Drosophila melanogaster: one gene and its partners. The protein of the gene in region 3 interacts with the protein of the main gene of each other region in a pairwise test. Each region holds a gene or a part of one and is shown on either strand. Other genes may lie near its edges. The genes, in order: LpR1, CG42299 and CG14054.

The links.
Region 1: the proteins of CG14054 (region 3) and LpR1 interact in a two-hybrid assay, tested with the Drosophila melanogaster proteins (one large-scale study listed by BioGRID).
Region 2: the proteins of CG14054 (region 3) and CG42299 interact in a two-hybrid assay, tested with the Drosophila melanogaster proteins (one large-scale study listed by BioGRID).

What each region holds. Positions count from the first base shown.
Region 1 is NT_033777.3:25,757,318-25,762,440, reverse strand, and holds the start of LpR1 (lipophorin receptor 1), read left to right. Parts: upstream 1-2,118; 5' UTR 2,119-2,238; intron 2,239-3,155; 5' UTR 3,156-3,264; coding exon 3,265-3,649; intron 3,650-5,123.
Region 2 is NC_004354.4:15,574,337-15,577,447, forward strand, and holds CG42299 (uncharacterized protein), read right to left. Parts: upstream 1,348-3,111; 5' UTR 1,328-1,347; coding exon 1,273-1,327; intron 1,215-1,272; coding exon 721-1,214; 3' UTR 611-720; downstream 1-610. Other genes in the region: CG9213 (uncharacterized protein), read right to left, coding at 1-162; cerv (cervantes), read right to left, coding at 2,816-3,111.
Region 3 is NC_004354.4:2,064,650-2,068,363, forward strand, and holds CG14054 (uncharacterized protein), read right to left. Parts: upstream 1,711-3,714; 5' UTR 1,590-1,710; coding exon 1,500-1,589; intron 1,458-1,499; exon of another isoform or gene 1,440-1,457; coding exon 1,296-1,439; exon of another isoform or gene 1,243-1,295; coding exon 1,109-1,242; intron 1,096-1,108; exon of another isoform or gene 1,055-1,095; coding exon 805-1,054; 3' UTR 624-804; downstream 1-623. Other genes in the region: CG4281 (uncharacterized protein), read right to left, coding at 1-171, 225-342; CG4199 (uncharacterized protein), read right to left, coding at 2,060-3,714.

The DNA of each region.
Region 1 (5,123 bases), on a different chromosome or scaffold from region 3:
AGGCCACTTAAAGATTAAAGAACACTGATCATTATCTGGCCAAGCGATAGTTGATAGATGGGCTGGCCCTTCACGCCTGCCAAAACCACAATAGACACATATGTATGTATTGGTGTATATATATATGTACATATGTTTTCCTAAACTCACACTCGACAAAACTTGAACACACGGCACGGGGCTGCAGGGCGATAAAATGCAGTGTCAATTGAAGTGCTTGATTAGGCGATTTGCGAGCGATTCGCCAGCGATTTCCAACGCCTGCAATTAGAGACGGCGGCGCACTGCAAAATATACAGAATGGTTGGCAGGGGCGTTGGTTTGGTGGGGGTTTTCCGACGGCTCTGTCATTCACAAGCATCGCGGGGTGGTGCTTGAAAAATGATTTACACGCGCAAATCATAAATTATGCCCATTTCAAGTGGACCGTTACGCCGGAGAATCCATGACAAATGCAGATGACGCCCAAGCACCGATGACGATGGTGATTGCAATGCAATCTAATGGCTGATATGATGGTGATTGTGATTGCGGGTTTGATTGAGATTTCCATTGGTACTGGGATGCTGCTAGTGCCGATAATTGTTTTGAAGATGACGCATTTTAAATGACTGACCCTAACCGAACCCATTGTCCGCTGGCTGCGATTTTTCACCGCCTCTTATCATCGACGTCAGTCAACGCAACTCTAACCAAGCCAAAAGCCAATGAAATCAAATCCACGACACTCCAGTTCAATTTCGAATTTCACACCACTTTCAATCGGACCCACACCTGGTTTGATTGAAAGCGGCGACACTTTCAATGCTAATGAGCTGCGATTCCGTTTACCAATCGCCGAAAGGCATTTCAGTTCGCATCGGTCTTCGCTGGGCATCACACCGTAAAACCTTCCGGGTCCCAAAAAAAAATCAAAAGAATTAAGTATATTCAAAATACCTATTTGATACCTGGATATAGTTTCGGTGGGCCCATGCAGAACGTCACGACTGTCGTACGATTATCGGCACAATTCTCACGTCCGGTTGTCCAGCTTAATTAAAAAATATCTTTGTTTTTCGCACTGATAAACGCGGTGGCAACGCAAAAAGGAAGTCTAGATACATACAGTCTGAAAAACGTATTTTCGTACAGTACGATGTTTAAAAGTGATCTCTGTGTGCTGATTGTGATCTCCTTGGCGTTTTCCTTACATTCAGGTTGGTACTGTAGAAAATAGGATTTTTTCCGAGGTCTGAAACTGCTCTTAATTCGGAGCCCTTAACCACTTATTTTTAATTAGACTTTAATATCAGATTGAATAATTGGCTGACCAATTACATGTACATCTAAGTACACTTTGTGCGATTACCCTATATAACCTTTGTTGGTTCGCAAACATCATTCTCAAGTTAGCACTTGAGTCCTTCTTTTTCTTTCTCAGGGGATATTTGCCCAACTTGAGTATAAAATAACAAAACGTATTTTTAAATTAAAGTGGATTCTTGGCATTACGACAAGATAATTATCACTACTTATTCAATATATTTCCACGGAATTCTGTCTAGTTGTGAAATCAGTCGCAATATTCCGAAAGTAGTATGATCCCTTATCATAAAAAATACTTTAATTTCTAAGGCGTAGGTTTATAACTTAAGAAATGATTGATCGATTCTTAATAGCTGGGATTCGTTAGCATGTTGCTTTTGTTTTTTAAATAAATTATCTCAGTTGAAGAAGCATTTAAAATTCTTGTAGTTTTTAAACAATGCTTCTGTAATAGTTGTATCTATAGATCGCCCAACGATTCCTTGCCCAATCTATCCATTCACATCAACGTACGCTCCATTGATCACTGATCAACTGGTTTGCCTTAAGAGCACCTTGTACGTTAGTAATCTTTTGGGGAGCTAAGAGTGGAATACAGCATCGATTAAATTCAGAGAGTGCTCCGATCTGCCAGATCACTCTTTATGTATCTCTTCGACGGGGTCTGGTCAGTTTCTTGTCAGTTTTGATAAGGCCACCTTAAGACGGTGCAAAAACAAGCACAATCGCAAACGACAGTTACTCTCGGCTCTCGAATTAAAATCGCTGGCGATTCGCTTAAATTTGCAGGCCAATTCTCTAAGCGAATTCAGTTGAAAAAGGCGCGTTGTGCGAAACGGGCATCACAGTTTTTTGCGGTTTATTTTCAACTTAAAAACCAAATAAAAAACACAAAAGAAACAAACAAAGCGAAATAAAAACAAACCTCATGTAATTCAAACATTCTACAGATTTAAATGCAATGATCTGTTTCTGAAATAAATTTGGAAAGACGCGATTAGCACGTGCCGCACATTCGCAGACACCTTGAAAATACCGCAAAAATAAATCAAAATAAAAGGCAAAACTGATAAGAGTTTATTTATCCGGGCGATTTGACGCGTGCTAGCTACAAATATCGGCAACAACAATATTTAATTAATTTATTTGCGCGATCGGAGGGGGCGTGGCCGTCCGCTCAACTAAATTTTAAATTATACTTCGGCTTTATTAATTGCCAACGTCAACAGAAACGTTTTTGTTTCTCTATAAAAATTAAGGGAAAACTTGTTTTTCTTGCTAATATACAATTATTATCAAATATTTTACTTATCGTTTATAATTTCCATATTTTACTCAAAATAAATGTTATTTCTCGTTAAGTACATATATAATTATTTTCAAAGTTTAATATATAAATGAATTTTCTGTGTAATTTTATGCGTTGCTTTTTTTCTCTCTTCGCATTTTTCGGTGATTTTGTTGTTGTCCGATATTTTTGCTTAAATTTTTTTTTTTCGGCCTTTTCGGTTTTTGTATTTTTTTTTAGCTACGTCGCGTTTTTGTGTGTCGCACGATTTTCAACCAGTTTCTTCAGTCTTCTCATCTCGAAATAAGAAATGTGAAGAGAGACGAAAGTAAAAGAGAATTGGCCGGATCGTGTGTTTATTTTATTTTTTGGCTGGCAAGCGATTCTTCCAATGTTTTTGCGTTAATGCTTGCGTTTATTTTTACGTTGACGCTGGTTCTTTTGGCCATTTCTCTGATTAGATAATCTCTGGCGAAGATCTCACGCTTCCTGCTTAGATAATCTATTCAACCAGGGTCACCAGAAATCACCCCACTTAATTTTCCCCTATCGAATACAGTGTCTATACAAACCTTGTAAGATCGAAGTGATAAAAGTGTGAAAAAAGCATTAAACAGACAGCATAAATTAAAGCAAAAGAAGAGTGAAGGCAAGCAAAATACCGTACCATGGCCATAGAGTCACGCTCTACGAGCACTGCAAGTGAAACCACAAAAACCGCCATAAAATCAACCACAAGCTCAAAATCTCCAGTAACATTCGGTAATCTCGGCGAGAAAAGACGCGCCGAACAGCTGTTCCGCTGCGCATGCGCCAACTTCAATCTCCTGCTCCTGACTTTAATGCTCGGATTCGGCAAATGCTGCACTGCCACGCCCACGCCGCTGAACACGCCCTCAACGAACACGCCCACCTCGGCAGTTAGCCCACATAATCCACAAACGCTGGACGAGAGCGGATCGCTGAGCAAGGTGATCGATGGCAAAGCCTTCATCAACATGGGATTCAAGTTCCTCAACGTTTCCGGAAAGATTGGCACACCCCTCGGCATAGGTGAGAAATGCATTGGCTGATTGAAAAAACCGGCGAAAATAGCGAAAAACCAGAAAAAAAGATCGCACAAGGGGGGGCACAAAGTGCGATGTTTGTTTATAGCCTAGCTTGTGCTAATTTTAGACCACAGATGTCGTCGAGGTTGAAGTCGAAAATGAAGTTTGGATACCCTGGCTTGGGGTATATATAAAATGATTCATTTAATCTTTTCAACTTGATGCCTATTTACAAATATGTAAAATGAAAAAAAATTTGTATTAATAACTGCGTTGTAGAACAAAGTAAAGTACTTAGCTTGAGCTGATAACTTAAAATTAAAGCGCGTGCAATCGAATTACAATTTAATCGTTAAAGAATTATCAACCAATGCTAAGAAGCTTTTCATTAAACTTTATTAAGCTGATAGTGTTTGAGTATTTAGTTATTAAATTATCCCCAAGCCATTGAGCAATGTAAACGATTATTTCAAAATATTACATTATCTTCGCAACTCCAAGCAATCCTCTTTGAATGGAAAGTAAGCAGTTTTGACTTATATGAGTCAATAATAACATTTAAGATATATGGCCTTTCCATTATACTGCTTAATTTATAATCATCACAATCTTGGTCACAAGGGTATCACCTGCATGTCGAGTCATTCAAATGGCTTTGCTCACTTCACACTTCGTGCACTTAAAATGGGCTCAGTTAAAAAGATACAGATACAAGCACTAATGCAGTTGCAGATACAGATACAAAAGTGCACCTTCCACTTGTTGCACACACACAGACGGTATGCGGACCTACTGTTACCGTGGTATCGAAATAGCCGAGAATTTTTTATCCACTTCCGCATTGATTTCCGCCTGGCTGACCATCGAGAATCTGTATCTTCTAATGGCTAAGCGATAGGAAAAGCGTTTGGCGTCTATCTGTGACGTTATTTTGTGGCGCGGGGCATTCCAATCATAAATCTAACTTTAAATCTAGCCACCTGTTTTGGCCAATATGGATTTACGTTTAGTGCTAGCCCCGAACTGGGGATTATCTTATCGGTCAATTTTACGATTTGTTTTTATGCATTTTTCGACCGCCGGGATTTCGCGACTTGAAGATAAGTGGACAATAAAGGGCAGTCAGACAATAGAAATTTCCTTCTATAAATCAAGAATTAATGGATTGATAGTGCAAGGAGCTTTGAATTGGTGCCATAAGTCATTCAAATGATCTTGAAAACATATAGATAAAAGAATATGAAGTGTGAAAACTACGATTGTTATAAATTAATATTTAATTTTTAAGACGTATTAGAGCAGTTATCCTAACCAAAATAATTTATTTTTATTGTTCACACATTTTGGTTTGAAACTATTTTTAAATAGCTAAATTTTTTAAGCAGTTCGCACTTTTGAAAATCAATCAACATATTGAGTGCCAAAAAATAGTCTTAAGGCTAAATCTGCCACATTTACTTGCATTTTTGTACTTTGCT
Region 2 (3,111 bases), about 14 Mb from region 3:
CAGCATCCAGTCGGCTTCGCCGCGCAGCTCCTTCTGCCTCTCCCGCTGCCCACGCAGTTCCGCCCGCTCCTTGGCCTGCTGCAGCATCGCCTCCCGGGCCTCCCGGAGCTCCTGGCGCGCCTTATCCTTTTCTCTGCCGCTTTCAAATTGTATGTAGCTCATGTCTAATTTGGTTCTTCTTGTTTACCAAAACATTAGTGTTAGAGATGGACAAATATGCACAACAGTGATATCGCTTAAGTCACTACTGAATAACAGACATATCGCTTAACTCACTATTGAAAAGTTGATTGCAATATACAACAAGAGAGAATGATATAGTCAAATTCCCCGTTACTCGGCTAGTGTGAATGCGAAAGCGAAATTTAATAAATTTAATTTAATTTTAATTTTAGAATCTGTATGGTGAATCTCAACCTTCTAGCTTTTATAATTCCTGAAATTTTGGCGCTCATACGGACATGAAAAGATCGACTCGGCTATTGATCCTAATCAAGAATATATATACTTCATATGGTCGGAAACGTTTCCATCTTCCTGTTACATACACTTCAACAATTCTAGTATAGCCTTTAACTTTACAACGGGTATAAAAAAGTATCAAAAAATTCCAAAGGAGTGTTTTTTATTTATAAAGTTAATTCTCAACAAGACTTGAAGTCATATTAAAATCTAAAGTTTAAAGGCGCTTTTTATATATAATTAATGACCTGCCTGTTCTTAGTCCTCATCCGAGGAAGTTTCATTCTTGATCTTGTCGGACTTGCGCTTTTGCAACTCCTGCTCCACGTCGGGGTCCTTGACCAGGTGCTCTAACTTGATGTCGGACAAGTTGGGACAGTCGCGCACCGGGCATAGGATGCCAATGTTGTCCTTGATGATCATTAAAACCGTTTCGCGGTCGTAGATATGACCGCACCTTTTGTTGCGCACGGGGTGCTTTATCAGGAGCTTGGACCAGGGATCGTGGAACGGGACGACCTCGACGCCGAAGTCTTCCATGATAAGGTCCTCATCAAGGCCGGCGATATTCTTTTGAGCTTCTGATTCCACCGCATTCATGTAGTTCGTGTCCTCAAGTGAGTTATTGACATCGATGCGCATCTGCTCCACAGCTTCGGGGCGCTCCTTGCAGACTTCCTCGGACTTCTCGATGGTGTTGCTAGAGTTTTTGGTTAGCAACTTCTCCCCGTCATCGCTGGAATTGGACACGACTGTGGGTGGGTGTGTTTTAAAGATGTTAAAGATGTCTCGGTTTGTCACATGGCTCACCTTCTGCCATTTCCCTGAAGAGCTTTTGGTGGGATTTCGGGTCCATTTTGATCATAAATTTTATTCAGACGCTTTTCAAATTGCAAATCCAGAATATTTAGATCGAAATGTCAAGACTGACGCTTCGGTTAAGCTAGGACCGATAATTTCGACAGGCAGCCTATCGAGGGTGTAATCGTTCTTTTGAGAACCGTTAATAATCGTGATGTGCGTCAAGTTAGCGTAGGTGAGTTAGCGTCGGTCAGTTAGTGCAGATGGCGGATCGGTAGAATTTTGAACATGGGGAAGTTTTTTATTTATTTTATTTTGTTGGGTTGTGGGCATTAGAGTGGGCGTGGCAATATGGGCATGCGCTGCGTCTATGTCTCTAGAATCTGTATGGTTAATCTCAACCTTCTAGCTTTTATAGTTCCTCAGATTTCGGCGTTCATACGGACATGATCAGATCGACTCGGCTATTGTTCCTGATCAAGAATATATATACTTTATATGGTCGGAAACGCTTTCTTCTGCCAGTTACATACTTTTTAACAAATCTACTATACCCTTTCACGAGTAACGGGTATAAAACTGAATATATTTGATAATATTATACTGAAGCTACCAATTTCCGATGCTGTAAATTGCATAATTTATTATGAAATAAAAACACTAATACTTATTATGTCAGCGGAACATAATAAGAATATTTGAGTCTAGAGGTTTTATCTCCAAGGGCATGACAACGCCATGGCAACCCTTTTTGCTTGTGTCAAGAACTCAAAAAAGAAGGCGATGACTTTGCAGTCTACAAGTCACATTTATAATTTGGCGTGAGGACCTCAGTTGATTCACATATCCGAGCGGATAATACTTAACTATTTGCAAAGCACAGCATTTTTAAGATGACCATTTCAAGAAAATGCTTTACGCATACAAGTTGATAGGTTTTCTAAACGAAACAATGAAGTCCTACGATTCTTCATAGAGCTCACCGATTTCATTATTCCGTTCACCGCTCCCGATAGATTCTTCGTTATTTGTAGAGATTTCCAGCGCAAGTCGCCAACAGCTGGCCCATTGACCAAGGCACCCATGCCGGAAGCTTTTTCCGGCAAAAAACCAAAAACAATGAGGAAGCAGCCATGCTGAAGGACCCCATGGCTTGCGGGGATTCAGAGCCGAAGCTTAGCAATGGTAAATCAGTCTGGATCTCCTCTGAAGATAGTAGCGATCCGGATAATGACAAGGTGCCATTGGTGCCATATGAGTCTGATGTGGATCGTCTGCGGCAAAGACTCGCTAGAATGTTTCGGCGATGATTTCGATGGCAATCGTGCTATATATTCATTTGTTTCTACATTTGTACCAATTTTCTAAATAAATCGCAAACTATATACATACGTGCATACTGCACTTCTAATATATTTTCTCTAAATTTTTTCGGGACTATTTTTAAAACATGTTTATTCGTTGTACCTTAAATTTTCATCAAATGGTTGTCTTACAAGAACGTGATATCTTACGCTGCGTTATTAGTCGACAAGAAGGAAGTTGCGCATAATTAATGATCTGCCTGTTCATCGTCCTCCTCCGAGGAAGTTTCTTTCTCGATCGCGTCAGACATGCGCTCTTGCAACTTCTGCTGTAGGTTGGAGTCCTTGACCAGGTGCGCTGGATGGATGTAGGACCTGTTGGGACAGCCGAGCACTGGGCATCGAATACCAATGTTGTCCGTGATGATCAGCATCACCGAGTCGCGGTCGTAGATGTGGCCGCACTTTTTGTTGCGCACGGGGTTCTTTATCAAGGCTTTGGACCAGGGATCGTAGAGCGAGAAGACCTCGCCGCCGGTGGCTT
Region 3 (3,714 bases):
TTTCGTCAGAGTCGCTGGCTGGCAACTTAAGGTTGTGTGTGTCCAGTCCGTCCACGTTGGCACTTGTGTGGTGGTGATGGTGGTGGTGGCCATGATGCCCGTGATGGTGCCCCTGGTTTAGCGCATCCGTGGGACTGCTCGAGGAGTCCTCCGTGGGCTGAGGGGCGCAGGCTAAGCAGAGGGGGGTTACCGCGAGCAGGAGTCGGCGTGCGATGGCTACTTACGCAGATTGCCCGTGGAACGTGTCCTGCGGCGGGAGCCCCACCTACCGACGCCGCCACTAGCCCTGTCCATCAGCGTCAGGTCCAGAGCCAACGTCAGATCGTGCGAGAATTGATCCATGGCCGCCCGCTATCCGCTGTCCTCCTGTCCGCTCGCATTGACTCAGGCTCGGCGCATTTATTTGCGTTCTGCACGTGCACAAACAAGAAACAAAAATGCACCAGAAATCACTTCGGTATGCGATTTGCGATAGTGTCTTCGAAAACCATCGGTTGTTCAAACAGTTCGATAGGTAACTTCGAAAGTTATCGCAACAGTAGATATGGCGATATGTTGTTTCGAAAATAATCGCTAAAGCTTTACGATATTATGCACAAAAAAAAACTAGTCGCAGAATGGTTAAACACGTAATAAAAAAGTTTTATGACTACATTCTACATTTCAGTGTCGGTATTCTATAGTGATTTACAATGGTTTAAAGTAACTTTTTCCCGACTCGATTAGCCGATTACTGTCGATAACTCGGCGGTGCTCGATAACCAGTGTTTAAAATACTAAAGGGCCAGGACAAGGCGGAACATGTCAGAAGCCCGCCACGAAGAGATTGAGGGCATCCATTTTATCCATTTTGCTCTCTGCCTCGAAGACGGGACGGGCCCCGCAGGACACAAGCGCCAGGCAGTCCACACAGTTCCATAGGAAACAAAGTCTGTGCCAGACGTGCATCAGGATCGGGGGCAGCTGGTGTTCCAGTGCTTCTTGCAGTTTCTGTATCTCGTGGCAGAGGAGCCGGAGACGCTGGATGCGTCGCAGCTTTACGTCCAGGATGCGACTGTGGAAGAACAGACTAGATAGCCCAACTAGACGACTGCGGTCAGTACAATACCTTCGAAGTTCAGTGCAGGCGTTCTCCACGTCGTTAATCCTCATCCTGGTTACGAACAGTTCCTGACTGATGTCGAAAGCTCGGGAGCACAGCATGGCAGTTCGTGACTCGAAGAGGTCAGATTTATCCAGCGCCTGAGGAGGAACTGCTTTTACTACAAACAGTGGTCGGACGAATCTTTACAAACCAGATTCCTGAGCTGGCGGTTCCGCTCCTCAAGAAATTGGGTGCGCTTCTGGACATCCGCCAGCTGCTGGGACATCCCAGTCGGTACAGTATTCTGATGATGTAGGTCGACACCATGCAGCGAGGATAAATCACTCAGCGGAAGCTATTCGCCGACAAAGTGGTAAGTTAGTACACCCCACATGACCATTTTCAAAAGCCATACCGTGTGCTGGGTCCTACCCAGCTTTGTGGTAAACAATTGGAGGCCTGCGTTAAGCAGGGATCGCTGGGAACTCCGACTAGGTGAGGCCATCGATTCTAGAGTTACGTTCCTAATTTGGAATTTCGGTTTGAACGCGAACAATTAGTTAGACTGTGTAAAAATAAGCAAGTGTGGAAAGTACGGAAATACTCACGGATAAAACCGTTTGTAAGTTAACGGGTGAAGCGAGGAGCTAACGACCTTGTTTGAAATTCATCAATAGGAAAAAAGCCAAAACTATTGTTTTAAATACGAAACGTTAAAATTCTTTATTTAGCAAAAGTAAACCAATACGCCATTGTGTGGCAAGGGAATGAAACGCTTACATCTTTGATCTCTTGGGCCAAAAGTGGCAACCGCGGCGGGAACTCAAGGAAGTCCCCACAACTACAATTATAAATATACACAGATATAGTTACACGTTTATAGAGTTTTGCATACGAGTACCCATAATAAATACTCAACGATTGCATGAAAATATAACAACAAATCTCAGCGGTAATACACATTAAGTTGATTATTTAGCGAACTTGGGGCAACGGCTGGCCAAGCTTCTTTGTCCAGTCCTCACGGGTGGCCGGGTCTTCGATCTGGCCACGACCGAGGCACTTGCCCTGCGAGATTAGCTCGGCAAACTGGGCCACAATCGGATCCCGGCCGCACGAAGCCACCGCTGTCACCGTATCCGCCTCGTTGATGAAGTAGGCCACAAACTTAAAGTCCTCCATGCTGCCGTCAATGATCACATCCTTGTAAGAGCCATGCCCGGCATACCGAATTCCCTTGCCGAAGATGAGGGTGAAAAAGAAGGGCACGGCCTCCAGCTTCTTTACCCCGCCGCACATGTTGATGGCCGCCACTCGTCCATGGTATTGAGCCAGCTGGTAATGCCCGATGTTCACGCGATCGTGGGCCAGCCCGTGAATGTGGGCGTTTGCTATATCACCGCCCACATACACATCGGGTACATTGGACTCCAGGAAATCAGTGACGTCCACGGATCCGTTACGATTTACCTTCACGCCCGACTTGGCCAGAAATTGGGTGTTGAGCTTGGAGCCAGTGCCCAAGATCAGCAGATCGCAAGGCAGACGCGTGTCATCTACCAGCACCACCTCTGATACCTTGCCGTCTTCGTTGCCAACGATCTCGGCGATGCCGCTCTCCATGCGCATGACCACCTTGTTGTCCTCGAACAGCTGGAGCACCCTCTGACCAATCTCCGCGCCGAATGCGGCCTTAAGTGGGACGTTTTCACGACCCACAACCGTGACGCTTTGCACTTTGGAGACCAACCCAGCAGCTGCCTCCAAGGCGATAAAGCTCGATCCCAGACAGACGACGCGGGACTCCGGGGTGATCGATGCCAATATCGCCTTTGTATCCGCCAACTCTCGGACAGTGCGGACGTTCTCCAAGTTAACACCGGGAATAGGCGGCCGGAAGGCGGAGCAGCCTGTGGCCAGGTAGATTTTATCGTACTTCACCACGTAGCCATTGCTGCAGTGCAGCTCTTTCTGAGCGGTATCCAACTTCTCGGCGGCGACTCCTTGCCACAGTTCGATATCGTACTCTTTGTAGAACTCCTCGTCGCGGAACCGCAGCTGCTCGATCTCAAGGTTCATAGCCTTGGAGATCTTAACGCGATCGTAGGGCAGATAGTCTTCGCGGCACACAAAGATTAGGCGCCCAGTAAAGCCCTCCTGTCGGATGGTTTCCACGGCTACAGCGCCAGAAGGACCACCGCCAACCACGATGAACACTCGCTGATCGTCGGGCTTGCGTCGGACCATGTTCTTGAGTCGCTTGTTATTCACCAGATCCGATCGCTTTGCACGGAGCATCACCTGTCCCTCGTTACCCACTTCCACGCGATAACATGGCAGGGAATCGAGACCAGGAAAGTCCTCAATGTCTCCGTTTTCCAGGTTAAAGCAAGCGCCGTGCCAAGGACAGCGGACACGACCCAAACCCAAAGCTCCAGTCTGGAGCGGAGCTCCGTAATGGGTGCACTTAGCACCCACTGCTAGCAGACGATCGTTCTGCTTCACGAGCAGCACGCGGGTGTCCTCATCGAAGTCCACCTGCTTCATTTCGTTCTCCTTCAGATCCGTAACTCTGCAGTCCACGGGGACCGCACTTGTGTACTCCGAATCCGGCGAAGACTCTTCCGTCG